Diceros bicornis minor: one gene and its partners. The protein of the gene in region 4 interacts with the protein of the main gene of each other region in a pairwise test. Links are inferred from orthologs where the notes say so. Each region holds a gene or a part of one and is shown on either strand. Other genes may lie near its edges. The genes, in order: NEFM, PPM1E, SPTBN1 and TNIK.

What was found.
Region 1: the proteins of TNIK (region 4) and NEFM interact in a two-hybrid assay, tested with the Homo sapiens proteins (2 studies listed by BioGRID and IntAct). The link is inferred for Diceros bicornis minor from reciprocal best matches to the Homo sapiens genes TNIK and NEFM.
Region 2: the proteins of TNIK (region 4) and PPM1E interact in a two-hybrid assay, tested with the Homo sapiens proteins (2 studies listed by BioGRID and IntAct). The link is inferred for Diceros bicornis minor from reciprocal best matches to the Homo sapiens genes TNIK and PPM1E.
Region 3: the proteins of TNIK (region 4) and SPTBN1 interact in a two-hybrid assay, tested with the Homo sapiens proteins (2 studies listed by BioGRID and IntAct). The link is inferred for Diceros bicornis minor from reciprocal best matches to the Homo sapiens genes TNIK and SPTBN1.

Annotation. Positions count from the first base shown.
Region 1 is NC_080750.1:68,933,021-68,939,870, reverse strand, and holds the start of NEFM (neurofilament medium polypeptide), read left to right. Parts: upstream 1-3,841; 5' UTR 3,842-3,888; coding exon 3,889-4,968; intron 4,969-5,685; coding exon 5,686-5,810; intron 5,811-6,850. UniProt on the Homo sapiens protein: Neurofilaments usually contain three intermediate filament proteins: NEFL, NEFM, and NEFH which are involved in the maintenance of neuronal caliber.
Region 2 is NC_080757.1:28,983,360-28,990,685, forward strand, and holds the start of PPM1E (protein phosphatase 1E), read right to left. Parts: upstream 3,004-7,326; 5' UTR 2,922-3,003; coding exon 2,470-2,921; intron 1-2,469. UniProt on the Homo sapiens protein: Protein phosphatase that inactivates multifunctional CaM kinases such as CAMK4 and CAMK2. Dephosphorylates and inactivates PAK. May play a role in the inhibition of actin fiber stress breakdown and in morphological changes driven by TNK2/CDC42.
Region 3 is NC_080751.1:31,959,642-31,967,118, forward strand, and holds the start of SPTBN1 (spectrin beta chain, non-erythrocytic 1), read right to left. Parts: upstream 3,014-7,477; 5' UTR 2,851-3,013; intron 1-2,850. UniProt on the Homo sapiens protein: Fodrin, which seems to be involved in secretion, interacts with calmodulin in a calcium-dependent manner and is thus candidate for the calcium-dependent movement of the cytoskeleton at the membrane.
Region 4 is NC_080754.1:50,589,417-50,596,351, reverse strand, and holds the start of TNIK (TRAF2 and NCK-interacting protein kinase), read right to left. Parts: upstream 3,020-6,935; 5' UTR 2,678-3,019; coding exon 2,621-2,677; intron 1-2,620. UniProt on the Homo sapiens protein: Serine/threonine kinase that acts as an essential activator of the Wnt signaling pathway. Recruited to promoters of Wnt target genes and required to activate their expression. May act by phosphorylating TCF4/TCF7L2.

The DNA of each region.
Region 1 (6,850 bases), on a different chromosome or scaffold from region 4:
GGTTTCAACATCTGAAATCAAAAAGACCAAAAGTCAAAGCTGCTTTTACAGTTTGACATCCCGAGGCTCAAGTAGAAATAAGTACTATAGTTTTCATTTTCCTTATGTTCCCACTCCAGGGTCCTCAGTCCCTACGTTTCTACAACAGCCCGTTAAATAATTAGCAAAGGACAATTTATAAATAATCACTCATCATGTGTTGTAGAATCAGATCCCAGGCAAAAGGATCAAGTTTAAGACATCTCAGTATGTTGAGAGAAAGTACAGTTCACCTAGTCTTACACAGATTAAGCCTAGAACCTGACAGTGGCGTCTTCCATCCGGAGCATCTTGCCTGCTGTCGGGTTCCCACATTCCACCCTCTTTGCATTTTTGTGCATCAAAAAAGTGTTCTTTAAAATGTAAGGAAATACGGGAAGAAGAAAGAAAATGCCCAGCTCCTTATTTTTCTAACCTTATTTTTTGACCCAATGAATAAACCCCTTATGCAAAGGATATTTTCCCCATTATCATTAAATAAGACCTCACAATAGCTGTCTCAACTACAAAGTTAATGTTTGTACTTTACCTACTGAACGAACACATAGCATACTCTGTGTTTCCCTATAAAGTGATTCAAAACACACTGAGCTTATGGTACAACAATCCAGAGATAATGTCATTAAAAATATATTACATCTAAATCATATGTGTAACTTCCCTATTTGGAATAAACTATAAAAGTATCATAGTCAAACTCAACAGTGTTGTAAATTCAGATAAATCCTCATGCTTCTTTTCTCTCTTGTTAACGTTTTCAGAAGATTCCGTAGCCTTCGTGTCAATAGAGTAAAAAAGGCAAAACCTTACATTTTTTTCTATCAGAAACATTAGAGTGGTAAATGTTCTTCAAAAATATGAGACAAAGAGGGAAAAATGAATGTCACAGCTTTTTTTTAAAAAGTTTTTATAGTAAACTCACTGATGGGCATAACCTTCAAGTCACCTTCAGGAAGAGTGATTAAAGTGAAAATTCTAATATAAAATAAAGCGTTTTGTTAAATATGGAAATGGATCAATCATTTTTAAGCCAGAGGGAACTTTTTTTCCTCAGTAAGACAACTGTTATAAGTCTCTAGGTTATCCTACTGCAGCCACACTGAACAATACTTCATGTGACATTGAAGTTAGAATTTTAAGCTAGAGGCACTAACTAGATTTGGCCTGAGTAATTGGCTATTATTTTATTTGTACACAATGCTTTCCTCCTTCTGTAACCAGTTGGAAGCTTAACAATTTCCGAGCTGGTTTAGGTAAAAGGCAAAACAGGTTAATTACGAAGTTAGACATGTGTTTCCTCGTAAAGGTCTCTCTGCAGAGTCATCTCATTTTCAAAGCCCTGAAGAAAACTAAGAGCAGCAGCCTGCCCGTTAACCGTTTGCTCTCATCGCAGAAAGCGCTTTCAATGCATAGGCAACGTGAAACGGCCAAGGGTTTCTCTATTTTTTAATAAAAGCAGAAAGTAATAAGTAACTAAGGCATAATTACTTCACAATTAGCATTTGGTCTTATCAGATGGCATCTTGCAGTGTCCAACCTGGAGACTGTCAGTACTTCACAGAAGGGCAGGGAATTTTCTTTCTCTTTTCTTTTACATATCCACCTGAAACCAGAAAATCCTGTTTTCACAATATTCACAAGTCAGTCCTCTCACTCTATCATCTGTCTCGCCCAACAGCTTGAGACATGGGCTCTCCTTGCCTGAAAGACAACCCGTCACTCAGCAAACTAGAACATCCTTCCCCCACACAGCCTGCAATGCTGCAGTTACCCAGTAATGAACCAAAAGTAACTCCCTAACTTAACCCTTTCTATTTTAAAATACAAATGGGCCAATAGATCTTATAAAAATAAAAAATAAAAATAAAAACCTCTAGAAACCCAGGCCTTTTGTGATTACTTGCTGATTGATATGATCTTGTTATTTAATAACACAAGGACTAGAGAAAGCAGGCTGTGAAAAGAAAATATGTAAGTTTGGGGTCTCTACTTTTCACAAGCAGTGGTTTCTTCTCAGCCATGGCAAGCATTTCACAGGCACTCACTGTGCCTGTGGCCCCAGCAAACTCGGTCATTAGTCCTGCTTCCTGCTCTTCACTTTGTCGTGCAGTATTCTGAAGTTTTTTACCCTGAATTGCCCCCAAAGCACTATGCAAAAAGAGGGACATTTTAACAGTTAGCAGTGCACCAGACAGCAGGAAGTCTGTGTAGATTCCTTGCTTAAATAAACATGTTTAAAGATATGGAAAAATCTATTCCAAATCAGTCCTTAAAATCTAAACAGGGAAATATATTTTAAATGGAGGAAAAAATATCTCGTTTTGTTCAAGGTTGTGGTGAATCGGTTTGGCAACTTTTAAATTAATTTTAAATTAATTCAGATGTTTTTCAATCATTGCAGTTACATACAAGGAGGACTGAACAGAAAGATGACAAAGCAATTGCTTGTGTTCAAACTTATCATAAACTATATTTCCCTGGACTTTTCATCTCAGCAGATTTCAAATTCCCATTTCCAAGCAATATTTGACCTTCAAATTTCAGGCCCTGGGTCTCTTGATTTCCTGCATCCATCATATGTTAAAAAAACCCAAACTAGGCTACAAGTATATTATTTGTTACCTAACTTGAATGAATTTTAGTTGTTTTCAAAATCTGCAATCTGTAGATTGTGCCAACCCCGCATTGCAGAGAAATCTTAGCGTGCGATTCCAGCTTGGCTCCTGCAAACAGAGTCACTACAAACAGGCTTTAATTGTATTTACTCGGAGAGAAGAGGGGGAAGGAAACCCCCGCCAACCTGACAGGCCCTGCTGGGTGATGAGCCCCCGGGCAGCTGGATCTCCCGGCTTGCCGGCCTGGGCGCTGTCCTTGGTGCTGCCGGCGCCATAGCAAGCCAAGCGCCTTACCTTCTGCCCATGCGGAAGCTGCGGACGTCCCCCAAACGTTAAGCAGAATGTAGCGCCATATCCCACTTTTAATACAAATAACTACCCCGGCCCATCCTCTTTGTCCCCTTCCCGAAGGCTTCAGGCTGACCGTTCCTCAAAGTCTTTTTGTTTTTTTCTTCTAGGCCCAACTCCTCTGCGCTCAACTCGGGCTGCTTTAAGACAAGGAGTGGGGGAAGGGGAGGGAGGCAAGGGGAGATGAGGATGGGGGAGGGGAGGAATGTAGGGGGAGGGGAGGAAGAAGTAGGGGAGAAGGAGCGGACGGGAAGGAAAAGGTCCAGGAGGAAGGGGCTCAGAGAGAAGGGCGGAGTGAGTGGGACTAGAGAAAGCTTAAAGAGGGACGGCGAAGAGATGCCAAAAAGAGGGGGAAGTGATTAAGCACAGAAGAGGCGTAAAGAAAAAAGTAATGGAGAAAGGGCAAAAGAAGAGAAAGCCATGAGGATAAGAGTGAAGAGGGCTAGAAAAATGACAAAGGGGCCAGCGAGTCGGGAGAAAAGCTGCCCGAACAGCGGCAGAGTGACTCAACAAAGAAAGGGCGTTGGGTGAATACTCGCACCGAGAGCGTAAATGCAATCCAAAGGTGAAGAGAAATGGAGAGAGGGGGCTTGAGGGGCGACAAGTGGTCTGGGACCGAAAGGAGAGCTGGGGGAGGGGCCGGGGCCAGGGCAGCAAAGTCCGGGGTCCAACGCAGCGTGGGCCCACGTGGAGCGGGCGCTGAATCACTGTAGGCTGTCTTTACCCCCCCACCCCTCCTCCCGGCCCGGTGCCCGCAATCCCCGCCTCCTCGGCCGCCGCCTCCACGGGGCGGGGCCCTGGCCCGGGTCCAGCCGCCGCGGCTATAAATGGGCTGCGGAGAGGCCAGCAGAACGCTGTGACAGCCACACGCCCCAAGGCCGTCAAGATGAGCTACACATTGGACTCGCTGGGCAACCCGTCCGCCTACCGGCGGGTAACCGAAACCCGCTCGAGCTTCAGCCGTGTTAGCGGCTCCCCGTCCAGCGGCTTCCGCTCTCAGTCATGGTCCCGCGGCTCACCCAGCACCGTGTCCTCCTCCTACAAGCGCAGCGCGCTTGGCCCGCGCCTCGCCTACAGTTCGGCCATGCTCAGCTCCGCTGAGAGCAGCCTCGACTTCAGCCAGTCCTCGTCCCTGCTCAACGGCGGCTCCGGGCCGGGCGGCGACTACAAGCTCTCCCGCTCCAACGAGAAGGAGCAGCTGCAGGGGCTGAACGACCGCTTCGCGGGCTACATCGAGAAGGTGCACTACCTGGAGCAGCAGAACAAGGAGATCGAGGCGGAGATCCAGGCGCTGCGGCAGAAGCAGGCCTCGCACGCCCAGCTGGGCGACGCGTACGACCAAGAGATCCGCGAGCTGCGCACCACACTCGAGCTGGTGAATCACGAGAAGGCTCAGGTGCAGCTGGACTCGGACCACCTGGAGGAAGACATCCACCGGCTCAAGGAGCGCTTCGAGGAGGAGGCACGGCTGCGCGACGACACCGAGGCGGCCATCCGCGCGCTGCGCAAAGACATCGAGGAGGCGTCGCTGGTCAAGGTGGAGCTGGACAAGAAGGTGCAGTCGCTGCAGGATGAGGTGGCCTTCCTGCGGAGCAATCACGAGGAGGAGGTGGCCGACCTGCTGGCCCAGATCCAGGCGTCGCACATCACAGTGGAGCGCAAAGACTACCTGAAGACAGACATCTCGACGGCGCTGAAGGAGATCCGCTCCCAGCTCGAGTGTCACTCCGACCAGAATATGCACCAGGCGGAAGAGTGGTTTAAGTGCCGCTACGCCAAGCTCACCGAAGCGGCCGAGCAGAACAAGGAGGCCATCCGCTCCGCCAAGGAAGAGATCGCCGAGTACCGGCGCCAGCTGCAGTCCAAGAGCATCGAGCTCGAGTCAGTGCGCGGCACCAAGGAGTCCCTGGAGCGGCAGCTCAGCGACATAGAGGAGCGCCACAACCACGATCTCAGCAGCTACCAGGTAGGAACCGCGGCTGCGCAGCCAGCCTGCGCCAGCGCCAGCGCCGCGCGCCCCCGACACTCAGGCACGCGCCCCGGCGCGCTCTCCGCCGCGCTCCCTGGCGGCCGCTGGTCAGTGCGCGCGCGCGCGCGCGCGCGAGCCGCCGACCCAAGTCGATGCGCAAAGCTGCCTCGCCACTCTCCGTCCTTTCCACACTCCTCCCCACCCACCATCCCCAGCTCCTAAGAACCCTGACCTTTTTCAAAACGTGCTTCTTTTCCTCGGGAGTTCTAGTTTTGCACGCTTGCACATTTAAAGTAGGAGGTATACATTCGGGTAGTTGATAAAGCAGCAACTTTAGGATAGCTTGTGCAGAACCACATGCATTCTCAAGTTTTCCGGCCGTGATCGAAAGAATACTCAAAATTGTCTTTGGCCCAAAGGGGTCAGATGGGAAGAGCTAGGTCAGCCGTGGGGTTTCCCCATGCATATTTGTTTCCTGTTGAGACATATTCTAGATCCACTGGTCTCAGCGCATGATGTGTCTAGAAAGTGTCTTATTGATCCTGACTTTTTGAGAATTCCTTAGATTTTTTTTTAAGGGAGGGAAAGTGGCTAGGTATCCTCCTCGAGGGTTGCAGAGCTGGAGGGAGTCGGAGTGGGAGCGGAGAGAGGGTAGCGAGTGGTTTGCGAAAGTTGCTGTTTGGAAGGATGAGTCTGTGGCTGTGTCTGTTTCAGGACACCATCCAGCAGTTGGAAAATGAGCTTCGGGGCACCAAGTGGGAAATGGCTCGTCACTTGCGAGAATACCAGGATCTCCTGAACGTCAAGATGGCTCTGGATATCGAGATCGCTGCGTACAGGTACCGTGATCACTGCGGACGTGGCCGAAATGCTAACTGGCACTACAAAGGCTGTTCTGGCAGAACCTTCACCACTCTAACTTAAAGCAGACAGGTTGCAGGAGTCTTAAATCAGTGCCGGGTTTTCTTTCCCAATTAAAAAGAAATTATTCTAAAGAATTGCAGTTATTGCAGTTATACAACTTTCAAAGTAAACAGTTGAAATAAAATGTTTTGAAGGAGAGCACCAGTTAATTTCAGTGCTTATGCTTAAATTTTTTTATTTTAGTGAAAAATTTTTTCCCAATGTTTGGAACAAAAATGGAATTTTAGTTTTTAATATTTCATCTAGTGGTTTCAGCTTTTCAACTTTATAATGTCAAGGACAAACACCAGGAGATTCAATTTCTCTGTTTCTCTCTTAGAGCTTACTATTGCCATCAGCTGGCTTAGAATAGATACAAATTGATACATATATATTCTATTACATATATATTCATACATATTATATATATATTCTAATACATATATATTCTGTCTATTTAGATTTATGTGTATAGATCTAGATATACACAGCCAGAGAGAGAGAGAGAAGAGATTATAGGTCTACTAAATGATATCAACTTGCTGTTGACTGAGTTCATAGGAGAAAATCCTTGACTAAACAGTTTTTCTACTACCAATAAGGTCATTATAATATTACAAGAATAAATTGCACACAGGAATAAATAAATTCCTGTCTAACTTTTCAGGAAACCTGAATAATTATATTAAATAAGCATTTTATGGTCAAAATTGCAGACCAATTTATAACTTGATACACTCATATTAGCACCTCGCTATGATATATATATATATAGCCTAAATTCTGATATATGCTAAATAGTTTTGTAAATTTTTTGAACATTATATTTGCTAAAAGAAATTTAGTATACATTCTGAAAGTCCAAATGCTCAAGAAGGTTACTCAGGTTTTTTTTAGCCACTTAGGGAGCTTTTCAGCATATTCATGTTGCACCATATCAACTGCCTCAGAGCTGAGATTTGGTGGCTGGGTGTGG
Region 2 (7,326 bases), on a different chromosome or scaffold from region 4:
AGGAGGATTAGCACGGATGTTAGCTCAGGGCTGATCTTCCTCACAAAAAAAAAAAAAATTCCCAAAATAAACAGAGTGGGTGGGTATTTGAGATTTTTTTTTTTTTAATCTTCATCCTCCCCAAATAAGCAATTCCAACATATTCCTAGTCAGAACTATTTCAAAGTATTTCCTAGGAAATTTGAGAACCCAACATTTTGAATATGTCAGGGAGAGTTCTGAGGATAAGAGAGTATATTGAGAAATGTTGGAATCATCTGTACATAATTTGTCATTTCTGAATCTGGATCCACAGTTTTCTCATCTGTAAAATAAAGTGCTTGAACAGAAAAAATAATCTATTTCTAATAGTGCCTTCCAGTATTGATTCTTGTGACTAAGTCATGATTTTCTTTTATAAATAACAAAATAAAAACTAAATGTGTTGAAAGTATATTTTTTTAAACTGTGAGGGGCTTTTTTGCTTTTGTTTTTTTAATCTGGTAAGGACCTTGAAGATATTTTCATAAACAAGCCAGCCATTTTATACCTGAATAAAACTGTTTAGTAGCTTCTGCAGAAAACACAGTATAAATGATGAAATCTCTGATTTAACGTGAAATAATATTTTCCAACTTAAATTTTGCTAGTTTTACTTCAAATCCAAACTTCTGCTTTCAATTACATGGCTATTTTATCATCTGAATATTTTTTCTAGTTTATGTGTATCGAAATTAATCTTGCTTCCTTTCCATATGGAAAAACACATATCTTACCATCATCTTTTTACATATTTCATTTTTCAAAAAACCTTCTCGAATGGCAAATGTTCATGGCTGTTCTAAATTAATGACTCTCTTTTTAATGGACCTTCTCTAATGTTTAAATGTGTGTTTCTTTAATTCTGCAACTGCATTTGTAAAGGTAAGAACTGTCAAAACAGAATTAGTCTGATGCTGAGATAAATTCTTCCACTTTGGCAAACATTTCCATTTTATTTTAAGCAGGAAGTTTTAAGTGTCCTTATATAGTGCTAAAAAATGACATTTCATAGGCCCTTTTCTATGATAGTTTACAAACACCAGGAAGAAATACTCTAAAATGTTAATACTGTTTATCTCTGAGTGGTGGTATCACAAGCCATTTTATTTTGTACATTTCCCAAAAAGTACTGTTACTTTGGTAATCGGATAGTATTTCAAAATTAAATTTTAAATAGCTTATAAAGTGTGGGACATCCACACAGTCCACTTCTACAGAAGATATGTTAAATGCTTTTTCTCTCTTGACAAGCTTCTGCTTTAACAGGAAAAATGATTTGACCAGGTGTCTGTTAGGTAGGATGAAGACAAAACATTTACTTTCCAGGCCCTTCTCTTAATTTGGGCTTTTGAGAAAATCCAAGAAATGAGTGTGAACTTAATTGCAGGGACTCTTACAGCAGTAAACTTTCTGGGAGGGGCTAGGGTAACACCTTTCATTACAGCTATCGGCAGAATAGCAAAAGACTTTCAGGTTTACCAATGTTTTCAGAGACTTGTTAGCATTCTCCTCTGTCATTATTTCAGAACAATTCCATTTAGAAAGAAAGGCAATTGTAAACCGTTCTATTTCAAGCCCATAAAAACCAGAACTGGGATGAAAGGCAAAGCCTTGACCTTTCTATTTTAGACTTTCATCTGTGGAGCTAAGCCATCTGCTTTCTCTCCCCTACTCCATCTACTTAATGGACTGAAAATACCACACCTAATTGCAATTTTATCAAACCAGCCTGACTCTTTCACTTGAACGAATTATGACTTTTTCAGGCGTCTTTCACCTGAAGTCTCGCTCGTAAAATTTTGCTTACCCTTCCCTCCCAATTTCTTCCCACCTTCCTCAACTGTGCGTTATCAAATATCTTTAAACCAAGATATTAGCCTCCTGTGTATTAAGCCATCTAAAGAGCTCTTCACTTTCAACACTGAGCGGCTGACGGAAAAATCGACTCCAATCTCTCCTCATGTGGATATGGGGCCGGTATTATCATCATTGTTGCCGTTACGCAGGAGGCACCTCGAAGCACAGCCTAGAAAGGAGTCTCTCTGCCGCCAAACAACAGGGGACTCAGACTGGGAAACGGCAGACCCCGGAGGAAACCTCTGGGAGGAAGAAGCCAGCTGGGAAGAAGAGGGAGCTCTCAAGACTGGAAGGAAAGACCTTCCGAGGCACAAAAGGGGAAAGGGTGTGTGAAGCGGAGCAAGAAGTGGCGGCCGAGGGGAAGCGGGAGCAAGGGGCCGGGCCCGGCGGGAGGGCGCGGGGGGCCGAGGCGGGCGTGGGCAGCTCGCAGCCATCCGCCCGAGTCCGAGCAGCCGGGGCGCTTTCAGCGGCGCCAGACGCGGGTGCAGGGGAAGAGCCGAAAAGAGAGCAGTCTGAGGGGCCGAGGGAGCCGCGTCGCGGCCGGCGCGGCGGGGAAGCGGGCCCACCCCCACCCGAGCCCCGCTACTTAACTATTTGTAGAGCTGCTGCAGGCACAGGTCCAGGCTCTCGCCCTCCACCTCCTCGAGGGTGATGCGCTCCGACAGCGGCCGCGGGAGCGGGGGCAGCGGCGGCAGCTGGGGCTGCGGCGGCGGCACGGCCGACTGCCCCCGGGCTGCCGCCGCCTCCTCCTCCTCGCCCTCCGCCGCCGCTACCGCCTCCTCTTCCACCGCCTCCTCCTCGGGCTCGGGGTCTTGCTCCTGCTCTGGCTCCCCCTCCTCTGTCGCGGCTACCGTGGCCGCCTCCTCCGCGAGCTCCTCCACCGAAGCCTCGGCCGCCTCAGCCGCTACCAGTTCGGGCTCGGGCTCCGACTCAGGTTCGGGTTCCGGCTCGGGCTCGCCGCCGCCGCACGGTCCGCGAAACTCGCCCAGGAATAGCTCCAGGAAGCGCCGGTAAGTTTTCTCCTCAGGGATGCAGCCGGCCATCGCTGCTCATGCCCGGGGCCGACCGGGAAGTGGGTCGGGGAAAGCCCAGGAAGGGGTGGAGGCTGCCCTCGAGCCTCGGGCTCCCGCAAGGGCGGTTAACGGCCGCACCGGCACGACTGATCAGCACTAGGTTGCCTGGAGAGGGCTCCCGCAGGCGTGCGCGCCACCGAGCACGGACGTGCGCGGGCCGGGGGCGGGGGCGGAGCGCGCAGCCCCTTTCGGGTCTGGAGGGAAAGTTGGTGGCGGGCGCGCGCGCAGGGTCCAGCGGCGGCCCACCCTCTAGCCCTACTGAGAGCTCAGCCCGCGCTGCCTGGAGACTGTCGCTATGGCAACCGGCTCTAATTAAGAATTTCAGGGTCCCTCCCGTCGAGTCCGCGGTCGAAAGGACACTCGACTCTTCCGCTCTCCAACTGAATATCTTTATTGTATGGATGTCCTACCCTCAAGTGGGTAAGAATGAACTAAGACATCTCCAAGTCTAGCTGTTGGTTCCCGCTTATATTGGATTTACCTGTTTTCCTTATCTGTTCCTGTCTTGCCTTATTTAGCCTCCTTATCTATTGAAAGATACTACACTGTGAACACCTTTTGTTGTTGAGAACACTCATTCAGTAAGCAGTTTGGGGAGAGGGGCATCAAACACATACCAAGTGGTAGTTTCCTTTGCATACGTTCTCTCATTTGATTCTGTCAAGAAAGTGGTGTTATCCTCATTTCTCAAAAAGAAGAAACAGTATTAAGATTAAACACTTTACCTGCTTTAAGGTGTCAAAGCTACTAACCATGGCATTGGAATTAGAACCCAGGTTGTCAGCCTCCAAAGCCTTCTAGACCTTTTTTCCTTTACTCTTCTCTGCCTCTGAAGAGTCAACATTGCAATATGTCTTTAAAGCCTTATTTTTATAGGGCTTTATAGTTTACAAGTTGTTTTTATCCCTTTAGTTCTTACAACAGTGCCTTAAGACAGAGGACATTACCACTATGATTCCATTTTATTGATGAGGAAACTGAGCCTTAAAGACATTGTGACTTTGCTCAAGGTCACACACAAGTGATGCAACAAGGACTAAATCAGGTCTTTTCACTGCAAAGCCATTAGTTTTCCAGCACACCAAAACACTTCTCTTTACTCTCTGCATAATACATATTATACTTTATTACATAATATGTATTTTTCCTACATTTTGTTTGCTCTTCTTACCCATCCCCCCAAGCCTCTTTTCTTTCTTTTTTAGATTGAAACTGAAACGACTTTAAATGATTCTAATTTTCTTACCAAACTACACACAAACCTATTATTTTCAAGCCTTACTGAGGGGGGTGGAAGAGGCAGAAGCTGTGTTGTTAAACAGCTGTACAGATGATAGCATCATTACTGCATACTGCCATGTCCATGGCAACATATAATTCAGCAAAAACATAGTGATCTTTCTCTACTTTGAAAAACATGTTCACAAAAATGATCCACCCCATCCTCTCCATTTATTGTTTCTGGGTTTCAGTTGGATTTAGGGTCTTAAATACCATTTCTAGTCAGTTATTAATGGCAGAAGAAGGAGTCTCCCTGCTAACTGTTTTCATATAATACTGTATTCTAAATCCCTGACCTGATACTGTTATTTTAAGATTAAGTAAGTTGAGCTCACTAATGTACATTATGGCATCACATAAAATAGACGTTCATTCTCTCTCCTAGCTTGAGATTAAATAATACATGATAGAAAGTATATTGTGAGTAATGCACATGAGTCCTCTATTACTATTTATTTTTGTCTCAAAGGTAAATGGGAAGATCCAATAAATAACTCTGTTTCCAGACAAGCTAAATGTATTTATACGTGTTTTGTTTAAAACATCACCAGTGTAGAGCAACTTTTCTATGAGATGCCAAGAAACTCTTTAAACTCCTCATTTGCCTTTGTTTTCAATCCACCTGTTCATTTCCATTTCAGAATGTCTAGAAAAGACTGACGAAACTTTTAAGACTACAAACTGAAATATCCACAATTTTACATTCCAACAGCTATTTAATATCTCAGAATTTGACATGATGACATTTAAGTTCAAGAGTACAGAGCTGTCAACTGTAACAATTCATATCAAGCTACACCTTCCTACTTTGTAATGTAGTTGCCTCCCTCATCTGGGTGACATTTATTTGTGACATTAATTTATGACTCAACCCACATATCAAAAGGAAGTGTTATATGTTGGGGAAACATTACTACTAGGAGTAAAAGGAAAAGCCCACACCTCTATATTACTATAAATGAGAGGTGTTTGCTTATATTAATAAAGATATTTCTTCACATAAGATCAATATGGATCTTATTGCATCCATTTGACACAGTAGCTTTGCCAGAAGGTTGCTGAGAGCAGTGCTGGGATCTCGGAGCAGCTGTAGGATGATTTTGCCATTGTCAAGAAGTCTTTTTAGTCATTATTTTGCATTGCTTTACTTTCCTTTTTCAGTTCCTCTCCTCTTATACTTCCCTATCTACTTTCTTACTATCAAAAAATATGGAGCTATGAAAAGCATATGCATCAAGGGTATTTAAATTTTTTTTGAGTTTTTTTTCCATAAGAATTGTTTTTCCTCGGGGCCGGCCCGGTGGCGCAAATGGTTAAGTGCATGCGCTCCTCTGCGGCGGCCTGGGGTTCGCCGGTTCAGATCCCAGGTGCGCACCAATGCACTGCTTGTCAGGCCATGCTGTGCTGGCGTCCCATATAAAGTGGAGGAAGATGGGCATGGATGTTAGCCCAGAGCCAGTCTTCCTCAACAAAAAGAGGAGGATTGGCAGATGTTAGCTCAGGGCCAATCTTCCTCACAAAAAAAAAAAAAAGAATTGTTTTTCCTCTAACCCTTAGCTCTTTGGAGGAAATGCACAATGTCCTTTCCTGGACATTTATGGTAATGAAATTTATAAGGTTAAAAAGAATTGTTGAGTTTAGCAGTTTCTTATCATATGACCCAGCAATTCCTCTCCCAGATATTTACCCACAAGAAATGAAAACATGTCCACCAAACACACACACACACCACAAAAAACCTTGTATGTAAATGTTTGCAATAGCTTTATTCATAATAGCTCAAACTTGGAAATAACCCAGATGTCCATCAATAGGTGAATAGATAAATTGTGATGTAGTTCTACAATGGAAGTAGTAACTCAGCAATAAAAAGAAATGCATTACTGATAAACCAACAACATGGATGAATTTCAAAAACATGCTGAGTAAAAAAACTCCAGGCACAAAAGAGCACATACTATATGATTCCACTTATATGAAATTCTAGAACAGGCAAAACGAATCTGTAGTAACAGAAAGCAGATTAGTCGTTGCCTGGGGCTGAGATTGGGTGGGGGATTCATGGCGATGGAGTAAGAGGAAACTTGGTGGGATGATTAAAGTGTTCTGGGCCGGCCTCGTGGCTTAGCGGTTAGGTGCATGCGCTCCGCTGCTGGCGACCCGGGCCCGGATCCCGGGCGTGCACCGAAACACCGCTTCTCCGGCCATGCTGAGGCCAAGTCCCACATACAGCAACTAGAAGGATGTGCAACTATGACATACAACTATCTACTGGGGCTTTGGGGGGAAAAATAAATAAATAAAATTAAAAATAAAGTGTTCTATATCTTAACTAGTGGTTACATAGGTGTATCCATCTGTCAAAAATTATCAATGTGTGCATTTTAAATAAGTGTATTGTATGTGAATTATACCTCAGTAAAGTTGATTTTAAAAGTTAAAAATAATTGATTACCTTGTCAGTACTTGTCCTTTTTGGCTCTCATATCCATTCCTTCTCTCCTTTGCTATGCTCTGTGTTGTAGGGGGGCTGACACTTTCAGGATATATCCACCAAATTCCTTGACAGCTGACTTCCAGCTGGGATTTGCCCAGTGGGAGGCATTTTCAGGAAATTGGAAGGTGGGAGGAAAGGAGAAAAGCCAGGATATTTCTTCTCTGTTCCCTACCTCAGTCCTAATGACTGCTGCATCTCCTTTGTAGCTCTCCTCCCTCTGAACATGTCCACTGGGATTCCAGCTTTTGCCTCTGACACCAGCCCCTGAGCTCCAGAAACATCATCTTCTTCCATTTGTCCTAGAGATGGTAATGGGTTCCAGCTTCCTCATCTTGCCTGCTATGGACTGAATATTTGTGTTCTCTCAATATTCATATGCTGAAATCATAACCACAAGGTGATGGTATTAGGAGGTGGGTCCTTTGGGAGGTGATTAGGTCATGAGGGCAAAACTCGCATGGATGGGATTACTGCCCTTAAAGAGGAAGTCCATGGGGCCAGTCCGGTGGCATAATGGTTAAGTTTGCAGCTCTGCTTTGGCGGCCCCCAGTGTTCACAGGTTTGGATCCCAGGAGCAGACCTACACACCACTCATCA
Region 3 (7,477 bases), on a different chromosome or scaffold from region 4:
AATGTGTCACAAGTAGAGAGTGAGGCCTTCTCACTAGCTCCTACAACATCTCAGACAGTTGTTACTAGTCTCACCCAAGAGATGCTCTTCACAGAAAGCCTGCACAACAGAAGATGACCAGGCGCTGGCAGTTTCTTCACTGCCGCAACGCTTCTCATCCTCTCAGTTGAAGGTTTTGGTCAGTTCAGAGACACAGAATTACAAAGAGCTTAATCTAACAGAATTCTGCAGCTGGTGTGTAAGTCAGAACAGCTAAACCTCCTGTGACATCAACACAGGATATTTTCTTACAACACAGTAGTAAATCCAAAATGTCTGGATAATCCATGGGAACAGTACTCCCAAACATCTTTATGCAACATGATTTTATACAACCAGCACAACAATGAAGGCCAAACCCAAAAAGTTCTACATTTTAATGGCCCTCTATCAGAGAAACTCAAAATAATGCACATAAACCACACAATTTGCATTCAGTTCTACTCTGCAGAGCCACATAAAATCAAATGCCACTAATTTGGATTCATTAGAGATTTAAAAAATAAAAGTAGACACGCCCTTGCTTTACAACACTGACCTTCCCTTCCAGTTAGAATACTAAATTCTCTTTTTCACCTATACATTTTAGAAGAGCTGGGGTGACATTTGAAATGCATCTCATTTGCCATTCCACACTGAATAAATGAATTGTCGAAGTGGCATTTAGAAGAAAAATTCCCTGTGTACTAGTCTAGACTAAACAAGACATAGGGAACCATCTCCTTCTGACCAGATAACAGCCACAGCGGCCTTGGGGGTCTGCCTTTCTCAACCCCCTCCCCAGCCACATCTGCAAAAAATATTTATACGAAAAATACATATAAACAAACATAAACGCAGTCAGTTACCATCACAATCCCATTAGTCATAACTGGAGACAACTTGCCTATCTAAATCAATCTGAGTACTTACCATCAATTATGACACTCATTTACCTAATAATCCTTAATAAAGAATCCAAATATGTAATTGTACTTGATTTACAGAAAAAGCAAACAATAAAAACAAAGCAAATACAGGTTAAAGAAACCATTTACTATCCATCAAAAAATAGGTTCCTTTTAAAACAATCTACTGAATGTCAGTATTTTTAGAAATGCCTCAAGGACACAAAAACTAAAATATATCAATCGCTTCATTTCAAAAAATGGTTTCCTCTAGGAAAAAATCCTTCTCCGTATTGACCAAAGACCGAGGTACAGTAATGTCATAGCTGCGAAGCTCCAATTAATAAACATGAACTTTCACATATGAAGAAACCGAAGGATAGTGGGGTTGTAGTTACAGATCATGGGTGATCCACAGAAAGACGCTGCGACTCCCAATACCGAATGCACCACTGCCTCCGCACACCGCTGGGCCCCGTCCTCCCTGCTGCCCCTCCCTACGGTTCAGGTCCCTCGGTCGGAGATCAGATTGCGGTCCGCAGCCGCAGGCCGGCTCCTTCTGCCCGCATTAGCGCTGCAGGGCGCCCCTTCATCCGAGCATAGCCCAACAGGCGGGGCGGAAGGGGGTCAGCCCAAAGAGAAGCCTCCCCCCTCACAGCGAGGTGACCTGGTCCTCCTGACGCCACATCCAGCTGAAGCAGCATGACAAGGTAGACGCAGCTCCGAGTCTCGGCCAAGGGCAGCCCCGGGCCTGGGTGGGGCCGGGCGGGGGCCGCAGGCGCCGAGTGGCCGTGCCAAGCCCCGCCAGCGAGAACCAGGGGAGGCTGCGATACTGCTGCATTGTGCTGCATCACGGCGAGGGCACCGTGAGCCATCCATCTTGCCAAAAAAGCACATCCCCGCCCAAATAAACCCCACCGAATCCATTTTTCTCCCCCACCGAAGCACCCCCACACTCGTCCTCTCCTAACTTACTATCGGGCCTGGCTTTTGACTGCAAAAATGGACACGGTTTGTGTACTGATCCCCACATTTCCCCTCCCCATCTGATGGCAAGCACTGGGCATCTTTCCTAACAGAAAAACAAAGGGAAGTCTCTCCCCCCCGAAAAAGAGGGCCACGAGCGTGGTGTGAGGAATGATGACGAGAGGGGCTTCCAGCCTACCACCCCAAAGGCAGGCCCGGAGGGGCTCCGCGCTGGTACAAACCTGTTGAAGAGAGGGTGGCAGGAGCTCAAGGGCGGGCGCAGCGGCGGCTCGGTGCCCCGAGGCGGCTCACGCCCAGCACTGGGAGAGTGGGGACGACAGGGAGGGCGGGGAGCGGCCGCGGAGGGGGGAGCGGGCGCGAGGATGGGCGGGGGTGAGGGGCGCCGGGCCGCCGCCTCCGGTTCAGCTGCAGCGCAGCGCAGTTCGGACCACGCCTGGCAGCATCCCCCGTACCGTTAAGCCTAGAGCCCGGCCCTGTCAACGCCGCCCCGCTCCCCACCAGCCGGGACTAGAGGGAGGCCACCTGAAAATACACCTTCCCTGCAGCCTACTCCGCACCCACCCCCGCGCCAGGGGCCGCTGCGCCTGGCTGGAGGGAGGCGGCGGCGGACGCAGGGAGAAGGAATCGGCGCCACTGCGCCCGGGGATGAGGCTGGGCGGCCGCGGTGCGCACCGCTGGTCTGCGGCCGCCTCACTGCAGAGCCCACCGCCCTCTGCCCCGCATAACCCTAGCAATAATTAGCACTGGAGACCCAGGCTTCCCGCGCCGCCCCCGCCCGGGCTCTGCAGCCTCCCCGCCCCCACGCCGCTCCCCCGGCGCAAGGCAGCGGCAGGGCAGCTGCGTCCTCCCGGCCTGGGCCCGCGCCCCTCCTCCCGCCCGCTGCCCGGGAGGCAGCCCCAGTGAGTTGGCATCTTCCAGCCTCAGGCCCCCTACCTACCTCCCGCGGATAGGGGTGGGGGCGCCGGAGTCCCGTCCTCCTCCCGCTCCTTGGCGGCCGGGCGGGTGGGCCGGGAGGCGACTCCGCGGGGCTGTCCGCGGCTGGGGCCGGGGCTCACAGGACGGGACCAGTGGGCGCTGCTGCGCGGGGCTGCGCGCTTGCTCCGGGCGGAGAGGCGGCCGAGGGAGGGACTGGAGGAATCCGCAGCCTGCACGGCAACAGCTGCACTGATTCCGGGGGCTGGGCGGGAGCGCGAGGTGGGCGGGAGGAGGGGAGGGAGCGCGCAGGGAGGGGGCGAGGGGCGGGGAGAGAGAGCGCGCGGGCGCGGGCGCCGGGTGCGCGCAACACGCGCGCGCACATGCTCTTTCCCGCACACCCTCCGCTCTCCTCTTTTCTCCTCCGCTCCTCCCTCCCTCGGTCGCTCCCTCTCGCCTGCCCCCGCCCCTGCTGGCAGCCCCGCAGCTGCTCACCCAGAGCCTGCTCCGCGCGCGAGCGGATCCTGGGGCGCGTCCACGCTTTCCCCCGCCGAGGCTCTGCCCCCGCCCAGCGCGGACCTCGTCGCCTGCCGCGGGGGCTGGCCGGGGCTGGCCTGGGCAGGATGGGCACCGTCGCCGCCGCTACCGGAGCAGAGGGACAATGAGGGCTTTGTCCCCACAGCCGGCGAGGGCCAATTTCACGTTTAATTTGAGGCTAATTCGATTATCGCCATGGAAAGGCGCAGCTTAATTTTCTGCGTGACTTGTGCAGCCTCTTTTCACCCGCGATGTTTGCGTTTGGAACGCGATGGAGAGAGCGTGCTGAGGGAGGGTTTAGAGCGTTGGTTGGCTGGTTTGGTTTTAGATCTAGGTGGTGTTGCCTTATAGGTTCCGCTCAGCCTGATGAAGAGCGATAGTGACTTCTCCGTGGGAAACCTTGGGGCGATGAGGGGAGGGAGGTGGTTCTTCGGTGAAGTCAAGATCTTCCTCCGTTGTGAGTGCTTTTTCATCCTTTCCCTCGGGGTAGCTGGGAACAGACCCCACAAGTGATTCATCCAACTCCTGCCTCTCGCCCAAACGCAGGCTTACTTTCACCTGAAGCGATGCTTTTCCGGAGCCACTCCTACGGAGAGGGGACGTCCCGGCTGCAGTGGAGGCCTTGCGATGGCTGGAGGGGCCGGAGTTCTCCCCCTACCCACAGTACGAGACGGACTCCGGACCTTTTCTCGAATTTTTCTCAACTGTCAGTGCCCCTTCCCAACCAGCTTGCCCACCCTGTCAACCCCCACAAGGCTATGTAGAAATTCTGGAACCGCCACTGTTGGGGAAAAAAGATGGTGTCATCACCAGGGCCATGAATAGAAACGCTCTTTAGAAAGCAGTCTGGAGAAAGTGACTTTCTGCTTGGTCTGTAGGTGTCCAACTGCGGCACTGTAAGCCTTCAGAAGGAAGAAGGCTTTTCTGGGTTGAAAAAGCCCCTTTTTCCCTAGAGATCTGACCCTCAACCCCTGAATAAAAAGTAGAAATAAAAGGCAGCCAAATAGTTTGGGTCATGCTTATATTTCAAATCAATAGACCAGAAGCCTGATGGGTTTATATTTGTGTGTATATATATTTTGTGTGTGTGTATGTGTGAGAAGATTGGCCATGAGCTAACATCTGTTGCCAATCTTCCTCTTTTTGGTGGGGAAGATTGTCCCTGAGCTAACATCTGTGCCAGTCTTCCTCTATTTTGTTTATGGAGCACTGCCACAGCCTGGCTTGATGAGCAGTGGGTAGATCCACGCCCAGGATCAGGCCTGCGAGCCCCGGGCCGCCAAAGCGGAGCGTGAGAACTTAGCACTGTGCGACCGGGTTGGCCCCTGTATATATTTTTTAAATGAACATTTTAAAATAAAACTACATGAAATTGTCCCAGCAAAGTGAAAATGATTCTTCCTTTTAGGCATTCACCATCAGTTTGAATGTTTGTATCAATGTTTACATTTGATATTTATGAAAAACAATGAAGGCAAGTAATTTAACATTTTTCTCAGAAGATTGATTAACATAGCCAGAAGGGGAACTGTCCAAGGGCCAGGTTCTTTGACTGTACATAGCAGGCACTTAGAAGGTGATCAAAAAATATTGGTTGAATTGAATGGAACAGAATCGGCATGTAAGGGCTGCCCTCATTAGGTAATACAGGAAATCCACTAGGAATGAGAGTTGTTTCCCTTTCACTTAGTTTGTGCCACGGCCCCCAGCACCTCCCCACCCACAGTGTTGATGAAAACCAAAGAAAACAATGGCAGTACTGGGAAATGCCTGTTGAAATTTTTCCAGTGTGATTCTGAATTGGTGTCTCTTGACTGCTTCCTTTATCGCAGATAACAGTACTTGAATAATCTTCATTTGATGGATGAGTCACCTCCCCTACCCCATTCCACTCCCACTTACTTTTTTTTTTTTAATTTTTTTTGTGTGTGTGTGAGGAAGATCAGCCCTAAGCTAACATCCATGCTAATCCTCCTCTTTTTGCTGAGGAAGACCCGCTCTGAGCTAACATCTATTGCCAATCCTCCTCCTTTTATTCCCCAAAGCCCCAGTAGATAGTTGTATGTCATAGTTGCACATCCTTCTAGTTGCTGTATGTGGGACACGGCCTCAACATGGCCAGAGAAGCGGTGCCTCCCTGCGTGCCTGGGATCCGACCCGGGCCGCCAGTAGTGGAGCGCGCACACTTAACTGCTAAGCCACAGGGCCGGCCGCTCACTCCCACTTACTTTTAAAAATTTCCTTCAAAAAGGGAGGCCTCACATAACCTTAGCAAGGTACTCTAGTAAAGTGGCAGTAAGTATTCCAAAAATGTGAAAGACAAGGATTCAAAATTTCACTATTAATACCTGCCTCACAATTTCAAATTCTTACCCTTTGGTGGAAAAATATCATCACCCAGGACAGCCCAGTGTACCGCCGACCAAAAAAAAAAGTAACAGGTCAAAGAAAAGACAGTCTAAGTCTGAAGAGATTATTGGAGAAGAAATACATCTCTGTGGAAAGCAAGAATCTAGAAAAAGATAAAAAGCCTTGGGCAGTAATGATGGTAACAAAGAATTATTCTCAGATATCTCAAAAGCAGCTTTGCTGAAGTGTAACTTCACATTAGCATCAAGGTTGATGTAAAGGAACCTAGAACTCATTGATATCATGTCTGTAACATACCCCTCTCCATTTTTAAAACCATGTGATTATATATGGCTTTAACTCCCATAGAGGCAGTACTTTATTACAAAAATTTTGCAGAAATAAATTGTTATTTTAACTTTCCATTCAAAATGTAGGAGGAAATCTTGTCAACATATATAGTAGTCACTATAGACTAGGTTATCATGTTATAACTCACAGTCCCCAAATCTCAGTATAATATGCAAGTCCCAAATTAACAAAAGCTAATTTATTACTTATATAAAGCCAACTGTGGTTTCAAGATACTCTCTGGGGAAGCTGTCTTCCATGTGTCAGCTCAGTTTTCCAGAATACTTTAATATTATGGTACCTCCATGTCAATGGGCGCTTCCACAATCTCCACTGTAGGGGGAGTGTGATGGAGGGTTAAGTACCAGCAACTAAATACTTCCACCCAGAAATGATGCAAGGTTTCCTCCACTCACATTTCATTTGCCAAAGCAAGTCATGAGGCTACATCTGAAACCAGATATTGATGCACAGTACTGTTGTGCGCCACTGCCGGCTACTTTAAGTCTTTCCTTGGTTATATTAACCCAATTAAAATCCATCTTTTATTGTACTGATAATAGCCTAAAATTTAAAAATCAGAACACATTTTGAAAACTTGAATAAATTTTTTTCATTTCTATTTACTCTGAAACGACTTTTTTTTAACCCCGAGCTAGTCTGGGAAGTTTCCTCAGATTAGAAATGTTCCATTTGGTTATTCACATGTATTAATTTTGCCCTGGGAAAACTTAAAGACTTACATGTTTAAACTGTCATTATTATGAGTGAGTATTTTTTGAGTACTAACAATACATTTATTGTATAAAATAATTCATTTTTTCATTTATTTGAGAAATGTATATGCCGTAATCTGTTCTAGGATCTGAAATAGAGCACTGGGCAAAACAGTAAAAAAATCACTGCCTTCATGGATCTTCCATTCTAGTAGGGGATAGAATCAATCAATAAATAAGTAAAATATATATGTGATAAATCTGAATATATGGTAATCTAAATATACAGAAATAACATAAAATGATCAGAATAAACAGTCTCAGCTTTCTATAAACGATCTTCAAATTTTCTTTTAATAATCATAAGCAGCGACTATAAAATACTTTCCAGTTTTTAACGTGCTTTAGCAAATGTCATATTATTTTGTCCTTTTGTCAGTTCTGTGGGGTAGATATTAACCCCATTTTATAGGCAAGAAAACTGAGACACTAGTAGGTTGAATGAGTTGCCCAAGTTTACACAGCTACTAAGTGCCAGAGATATCTGCTTAGAAGCTAGTATATCAGAGCTATGTGTCTGGTCATTGCATATTAATTATTAAAAAGTAATTCTGTTTGCAAGATGAAAAAAATTCTGGAGATGGATGGTGGTGATGGTTGTAAAACAATGTGAATGTACTTAATGCCAGTGAACTGTAC
Region 4 (6,935 bases):
GCACTGAGCAAAGGGTTTACAAAAAGAGCATTGACTGTGTACACTAAAGAGCCACCGAAACAGCAAGGGACTGGTAAGGCTGCATCAAATTCTCCTAGAAGCCACTGACCTTGGCTGCATTTCAGGGGTCAGGCATTCCCCAGGAGGTTCTCAGCAGGCTGGCTTTACTGAGGATTTAGGAACAAATGGACCTCTCATCTAGATTAGCCCACCTCTCCTGATTTGGGAAGACAGAGAGATGATCTGCCCTCTGATTTGTGGAGATTACCTATGTGGCCTTTGAACCCACTCGGGGCTTGCACACCTCACCCACCACAGGGCTGGTCACAGACCCTAGCCCTCTGGATGCATCTATCTCCACATGGGCATTTAAGTTCTCCAGCCAGCAGTTCCCCAGCTCCTGAGCTCGCTCTAGCCCTCTCTTTCCACACCTCCTGCAGGCAGAAATAACAGAGGCAGAGCACTAAGCCCAGGCCACAAAGAGCAATGTCAGTGAATCCTGCAAAGATATCTTTTCAAAACACAGATCTCAGGATCACAGCCCTCCCATGTGTGGATTGCACTCCAGGCCAGCTGGTGGGCCCTCAGGGTGGCTCACAAGCCTGCAGGCTCTGTGCTCGGTATCTCAGAAAACCCTCCCCAGGAAAATAAGCCCACGAGAGAGACCTCTGACTGAGCCCAACTTAAAAATCACATCAGAGCGCTTTCCATTAGAGGAGTGACGTCGAGATTCCAGCTCAGGGAAATCACAAGCCTTGCCCATTGTTCAGACTTCATGCCCTGCCTTTGCCACTTTCCCCTACCCTGAAGTCTGGGCCATCTATCCACCTGCTTAACCCGCTGGCAGCAACTCCCAGCGCAGAAAGTAGGGCAAATGAACACAGTCTATAAAGCAGGAAGCCACAGACTTGGCCCAAGCACCCACCCTGTTACCAACCCCCACCCCCAGCTGCCCAGGGGGCAGCGGGTTCTGAATGTGGCGTTTCGGCGCCAGGGCAATAGACGGCTTACTGTACGAACATATGAATGGGCTTTTGCTGCCCAACTATCAAAAAAGCCAGTTTCAAATGGCATCTCTTGTTCCTTCTCAACCCCTTGACTGCCTTGCAGAAAACTCACCTCTTGGATGGAAGGATTCAGGAGAAAGGGAAGGGGAGCATAAAAGGGGGGGATAGGGAGGGGGGATTGGGGAGACTAAAGAAAAAGTACCACTTTGACCATAAAGGTAAGTCTTTAAAATAACCGTGGATGAGGAGGCAATGTCACAAGTACTGAAGATTCAGGTACACAGCGCCGAGATTTAGCATCAGTCTAACAATGTATTCCTCGGGAGGGCGTGTGAACTTCCGAGCTTCACCCATCCCGCCTGTCTCCGCGTTGAGAGCCACCATCAATTCGGTCTCACCGACCCTCCATGCCTCAAGTATATGAAGCGGCTTTGGCTTTTTTTTTTTTTTTTAATTTTATTTTTGGTTCAGGAGAGGAAGAAGCCGTCCTTCAATTGGTGTCCAATCCTTCTCAGTCCCCCCGTTGTTGCTGCCACCCCCACCCCTCACCCCCTTCCCCGCAGGCAGCATCTAATTAAAATGGCAAGAAAAATCTGCCCCCTTCCCCAAAGGAGTGTGTTGGGACTGAGGGGTGGGGGTGGGGTGGCGTCGGGGCTGCACTGGGATTCCTGGTATTCTCATCTCAAAACAACAGCAAAATGGATTCTATACCAGTGATGTCTTAGTCAATACAATGAAACGGCAATTCACGTGAAGGTAAATGCAAACCAGCGGGGCCGAGAGGGGAAGGGAAGGGCTCTACAAAGGACTGGCCGAAGACACAGGGAAAATACACACACACACACTCACACACACACTCACACTCACTCACTCTCGGGAGTTCCGGTCTGATTGGGGAAAGGCAGAGAACACATCCTTTTCACCTGCTTAAGTTCAGCCATAAAACTGAAATGTCACAGCCACAGAGTCGGAAAGCACAGGCAGGGCTGAGTTAAAGCCATAAATAAAGGTGAGTGACAGACTGGCATTTAAGAGAGCGCTGAGAGGGAGTCGGGGCGCAGAGGGCAGAAAAGGGGGAAGGGGCGGCAGTTGCCATCGACAAGACTAGCATAGCAATAGCTGTCCCCTTGGAGGGTCAGGTTCGGCTTCGTGGGGAGAGCCAGGCTCACAATACCATCTTGCAGGTAGCTGGAAAACGTGAGGACCCAGTGCCTTTATTCACGCTGTTCTTCTTTTTGCAGAAAGGGACAGTGGGGTCTCGCGCCTTGGCACGAGACGACTGCCCGGAGCTTGTGTACACACACACACACACACACACACACACACACGAGCTTTTCATTTTAATGCTCTTACTCCGGTCTAAGATGAAACTGGCATAAGCTCCACGTGCCCTCGGGGGAGCCTCGGCCACAAACGAAGGAGGACACGTACCGCACAGCCCCTGCCGTGGGGGCTTAGCCAAGAGCACCTCAACAGCCCGGAATCAAAACCAGAATCCAGGTTCCGTCCGCGTCGCATTCCCCCACCTCTGCCCACCAGCTCCAGCCCCAGTCCACGCACCGAGCCCATTTACCCTGACCCAAACCACTGGAAAGAAATCAAAACGTGCTCACCCTCAGAGCCGAGAGATCGATTTCATCCAGGCTGCGGGCCGGGGAGTCGCTCGCCATGTCTACTTCTTTGCCGGAGAAATGGACCAAAACCACCCCGAAGCTTCTCCCTTGGAAATTCCACCTTGGTCTATCTCACTCGCGTCCTCATGCGGGTGTCGCGCCAGAGGCCCGGGGCCCAGCCTCCCCCGCCCACCCCCGCCCCACAGCGCCTGATCCCGATCCTCCGCGCCTCGGTCCGCGGGGTCCGGGAGCCCAACCTGCGCGGATCTCCAAGCCCGGAGCCGCGGTGTGTGTGGGCTGCGCGCCCTGATCGGCTAAGGGCGCTGGGGCTGCGTGGGTGTATTTAAATGGGACATGCTTCTTTGCTTGTGCGTGGATGGCGGCTGCATTGGCTGTTATAATGAGACACATCAACTCCTCCACTCAGCTGGGGGGGGTGGGGGTGGAGAACCACACAGAACTGTCTATCACCGCTTCCTGGGAGGAGTAAAGGGGGGGGAGGCGGAGGAGGCGTGGTCTCCGACTGGGGAGAGGCCGCGCTTCCTGACCCGGTCGCTCTGCACCAACGTGTGTGGGGGAGGGGCGCGCACCCTTTCCGCCCAGGCTTTTGCTGGCTAATCCGGCCGGATTTGAAGAGCTGTCCCTGAACTCTGCCGTGCTTATCGTGAGGACAAGGGGGCTTTATTTTTGTGTGTCCAGTTCATGCGCTGGAGCAAAATGGCCCTTCAATCGCATCTGGGGGTTTCTCCACAGGGTTCAAATACTCTAGCGCTGAAAAAAATCCAGAGGAAAAAAAGAGCGACGCCCTCCCGCCCCCATTAATTATTTGTGGGGCTGGAGTAACGCGGGCTGGTGCAACCGGTGCATATAAGGACTTGTGTGCTGGGAAGGGGATCCGCCTCCAGCCGCGGAACGAATGGGGGAGAAGCGCACTCGCACAGCGCGCCCAGCCCCGCGCTTTGGCAATGTGCAGCGGCCGCTGGGTCGGGTCTGCCAGCGGTCCCTGGGATTCCGGATGGCGGGTCTCGAGGGCCGGTCACTCGCCGTTTCGGAGCTGGGAAGGTTTGCCAGAAGCGGGAAAGCTGGGAGATCTGAGCTCCCTCTTGGCATCGCCACACCCAGGACCTGCCCGTGCCGCAATTCCCCACGGAAACGACCGAATAGAAACGAGAAGCTTGTTCTCTGGGTGCAGTAGCTTGAATGCTTCAGGTAACTCCAAAAGCAAGACTGGGTATGGCAACACTCGCCGCCTCAGGACCCTGCATTTCCCCTTCAGGCAGCGTTTCCGCGGCTGACCTACCCAGATTGATGGAGAAAGTTTGGCTGGGGGAAGAAGATGGAACGTAAAATGTATGTAAATCGCGTGAGAGCGATTTTACTCCGCCCGCTTTCTCATTTAAAGACTGAACGTTTACAGTGGTAAACACGACATTCTGTTATCAAGCGTGTGAAGTCATTTCCCCCAACTCCCCGCACAGCCCCTCCTCTCCAGCCCTGGTGGGCACGCGAAATACATGCGAAGAAACGCTAAAATTGAACTTTCCCCCAAATACAGCAGTAGCTTTGAAAGCATTATCTGCACCTCTGTTAAGATGAGCATTTACTTCTGGCCAAGTGCTCTGCGGGTTTTTTAATTGTGTGATGTGAATATCAGCTTCAGAATAAGGCTTTTGAGTGAATGAATGAAAGCCAAGGCAGTCAGTTCATCGCGTCTCCAGGCTTTACAAGACTTTGACACAGCATTCGGTATACGCTGTGCTGTGTTTGTTAATATTACTGTATCTATTTATGTGCGTTGTGGATCATGAAACTTGAGATTATTCCAACATCTTAGTGGCCACAACAGTAATGTTTAGGAGCTTTTACCATTAAAACGTCAAACGTTTAAACGTGTTGTATTCAAAACGCTCGGTTTCATCTCTCATGTTTTTAATAAAATCATCCAGCTCGAGGTTGTAAGTAACGTGCAGTAAGCCACCAATAATGTCGAAACGACGTTAAAAACTATCATTTCCCATCAACATCGTTATTTTTCCCTTCTCTGTCCCTTTGTTATCCTTAATCTAGATGACAGGTTAATGTATTGTCTCAATGTTGAAAGAAAATAATTTAAGATCAGATATTGAGATCTATGAACAGAACTATTTTTAAAACTCCAGGTCCGGCCCGTGGCTTAGCGGTTTAGTGCCCGGGCTCCGCTACTGGTAGCCCGGGTTCGGACCCGGGCGCGCACCGACGCACCGCTTCCCCGGCCATGCTGAGGCCGGGTCCCACATACAGCAACTAGAAGGATGTGCAACTATGACATACAACTATCTACTGGGGCTTTGGGGGAAAAAAAAAAAGGAGGACGATTGGCAATAGATGTTAGCTCAGAGCCAGTCTTCCTCAGCAAAAAGAGAAGGATTAGCGTGGATGTTAGCTCAGGGCTGATCTTCTTCACAAAAAAAAATAAATAAATAAAATATTTATTAGACAGGGTATCACCCCAGGGAGCTGCTCACCAATTGCCAGGAGAAATGGGAACACACACCCAGAAAGCAAACTACCTGCATCCCCTGCCCTGTACCATGTGCTGTCCTGCCCCCCTCCCCCCCTCGGCAGAGCAAGCACTCAGAATTAGAATTGGCACCACAGATAGGCAAATCAGATTTCCAAACACTAAGATGCACAGACAACCCAGAATTGCCAATCATCCCTAGAAATCTATTACTATGAAAGAGAGACCAACTTCAATCAACAAATGATTGAACACCCAAAGTTATTTTTAATAGAGCAAAAACAAATTTTATAGTATATATTTTTTAATCATCAGAGGGATAACACAAGATCTTACATTCACAAAACAATGAGGTTGTTATGAAAACAAACCAGTTAGAGGACTAATTAAGAATATATTTATTGAAATTTTAAAAATGAATAGATAGATTGAACAATAATAATACTTTGCTGCAAATACTCTTCTCAGCATTCATATATTAACATTTAATCTTTATAATCTTATAAAGTAGGCAATATCATTAGCATATTCATTTTACAGAGGAGTAAACTGAAGAATAGAAAGGTTAATTAACTTACTTAAGACAACACAGTAATAAATGGCTGAGCCAGGATTTGAACTCAGGCTCTTAATCACCATGCTGTACTGACTCAGGCTGAACTGAAGGGTGAATTAGTAAACTAGAAGGTTGGGCCTAGTTTTCTTCCAGATTGCAGGAAAAAAGATAAAGCAATGAGCAAAATTTTAAGTAATATGGAGAATAAATTTAGAAGTTCTAACATTCATCTAATAGGAGATCTGGAGAATGGATGGAAGGAGATACTTAAAGAAATGATAGAAAATGTTCTAGTGTCTTCAGGCTAAAATCTCCTGTTTAGTGAATAAGTAAAAAATACTACACTCTAAGGCATCATGATGGAATTTCAGAGCATTAAGGATAAAAAGAAAATTCTAGTCACCTACTCCTCATTAGCAACAATGGATGCTAGTAGATAATGGAACAAAGTATTCTAAAGGAACTGTTAGAATTCTCTACCCAACTAAAGTAACATTTAAGAAAGAGTATAGAATAATGACATACTTTCAGACACATAAGGATTCAAATGGTTGATCATCTCTTAAATTATCATTGGAAAATATATTCTACCAAAGAATCCAGAAAAAAATGTGCCACACAAAAGACAATGGTAAGCAAATGTAGCAGACTGTTATCCACTCAAAGTCATTCTCTTTCTTCTTTACTAGGAAAATTCTGATTTTGAGAATTTATCCTCCACGTGTTTAAAGAATATGGGTTCTCCCCAGCCCCAGAGGGAGAGTGAATGTTAAATAGTCTAAACTCCTCACAGTAATTCTATTCTCTCTCCTAATGATTAGTTTAGACAAAGGCATATCATGCAACACTGACTAAAGAAAAGTCTGGTGGGGGTTATAAGAATGATTTTCCTCTTTGAAAACTTAAAAAAGAAAAGAAAGAAAGAGAAGAGAAGAGGGCCAGGGAAAGCTTCCTGCCTATGGTAGCCACCCTCCAAGATGGCTCCCTGTGAGCCTCACCTCTTGGTATTTAAACCCTTTGTAGATCCCTCCAACATAGAACACAGACGACTTCTAAAGCTGGGAAGTAAAAGGCAATTCAGCTTTTACCTTGTTCTCTTGGTTCACTTGTTCTAAGGCAGAGTTTCTCAACCTCAGCATGTGTCTGATAATTCATGCTGTGGGGGCTTGTCCTGTGTGGTGTGGGATGTTTAGCAGCATCCGTGGTCCCTATCCACCAGACGCCAATAACATCTTCCCAGTTGTGACAAACAAAAATGT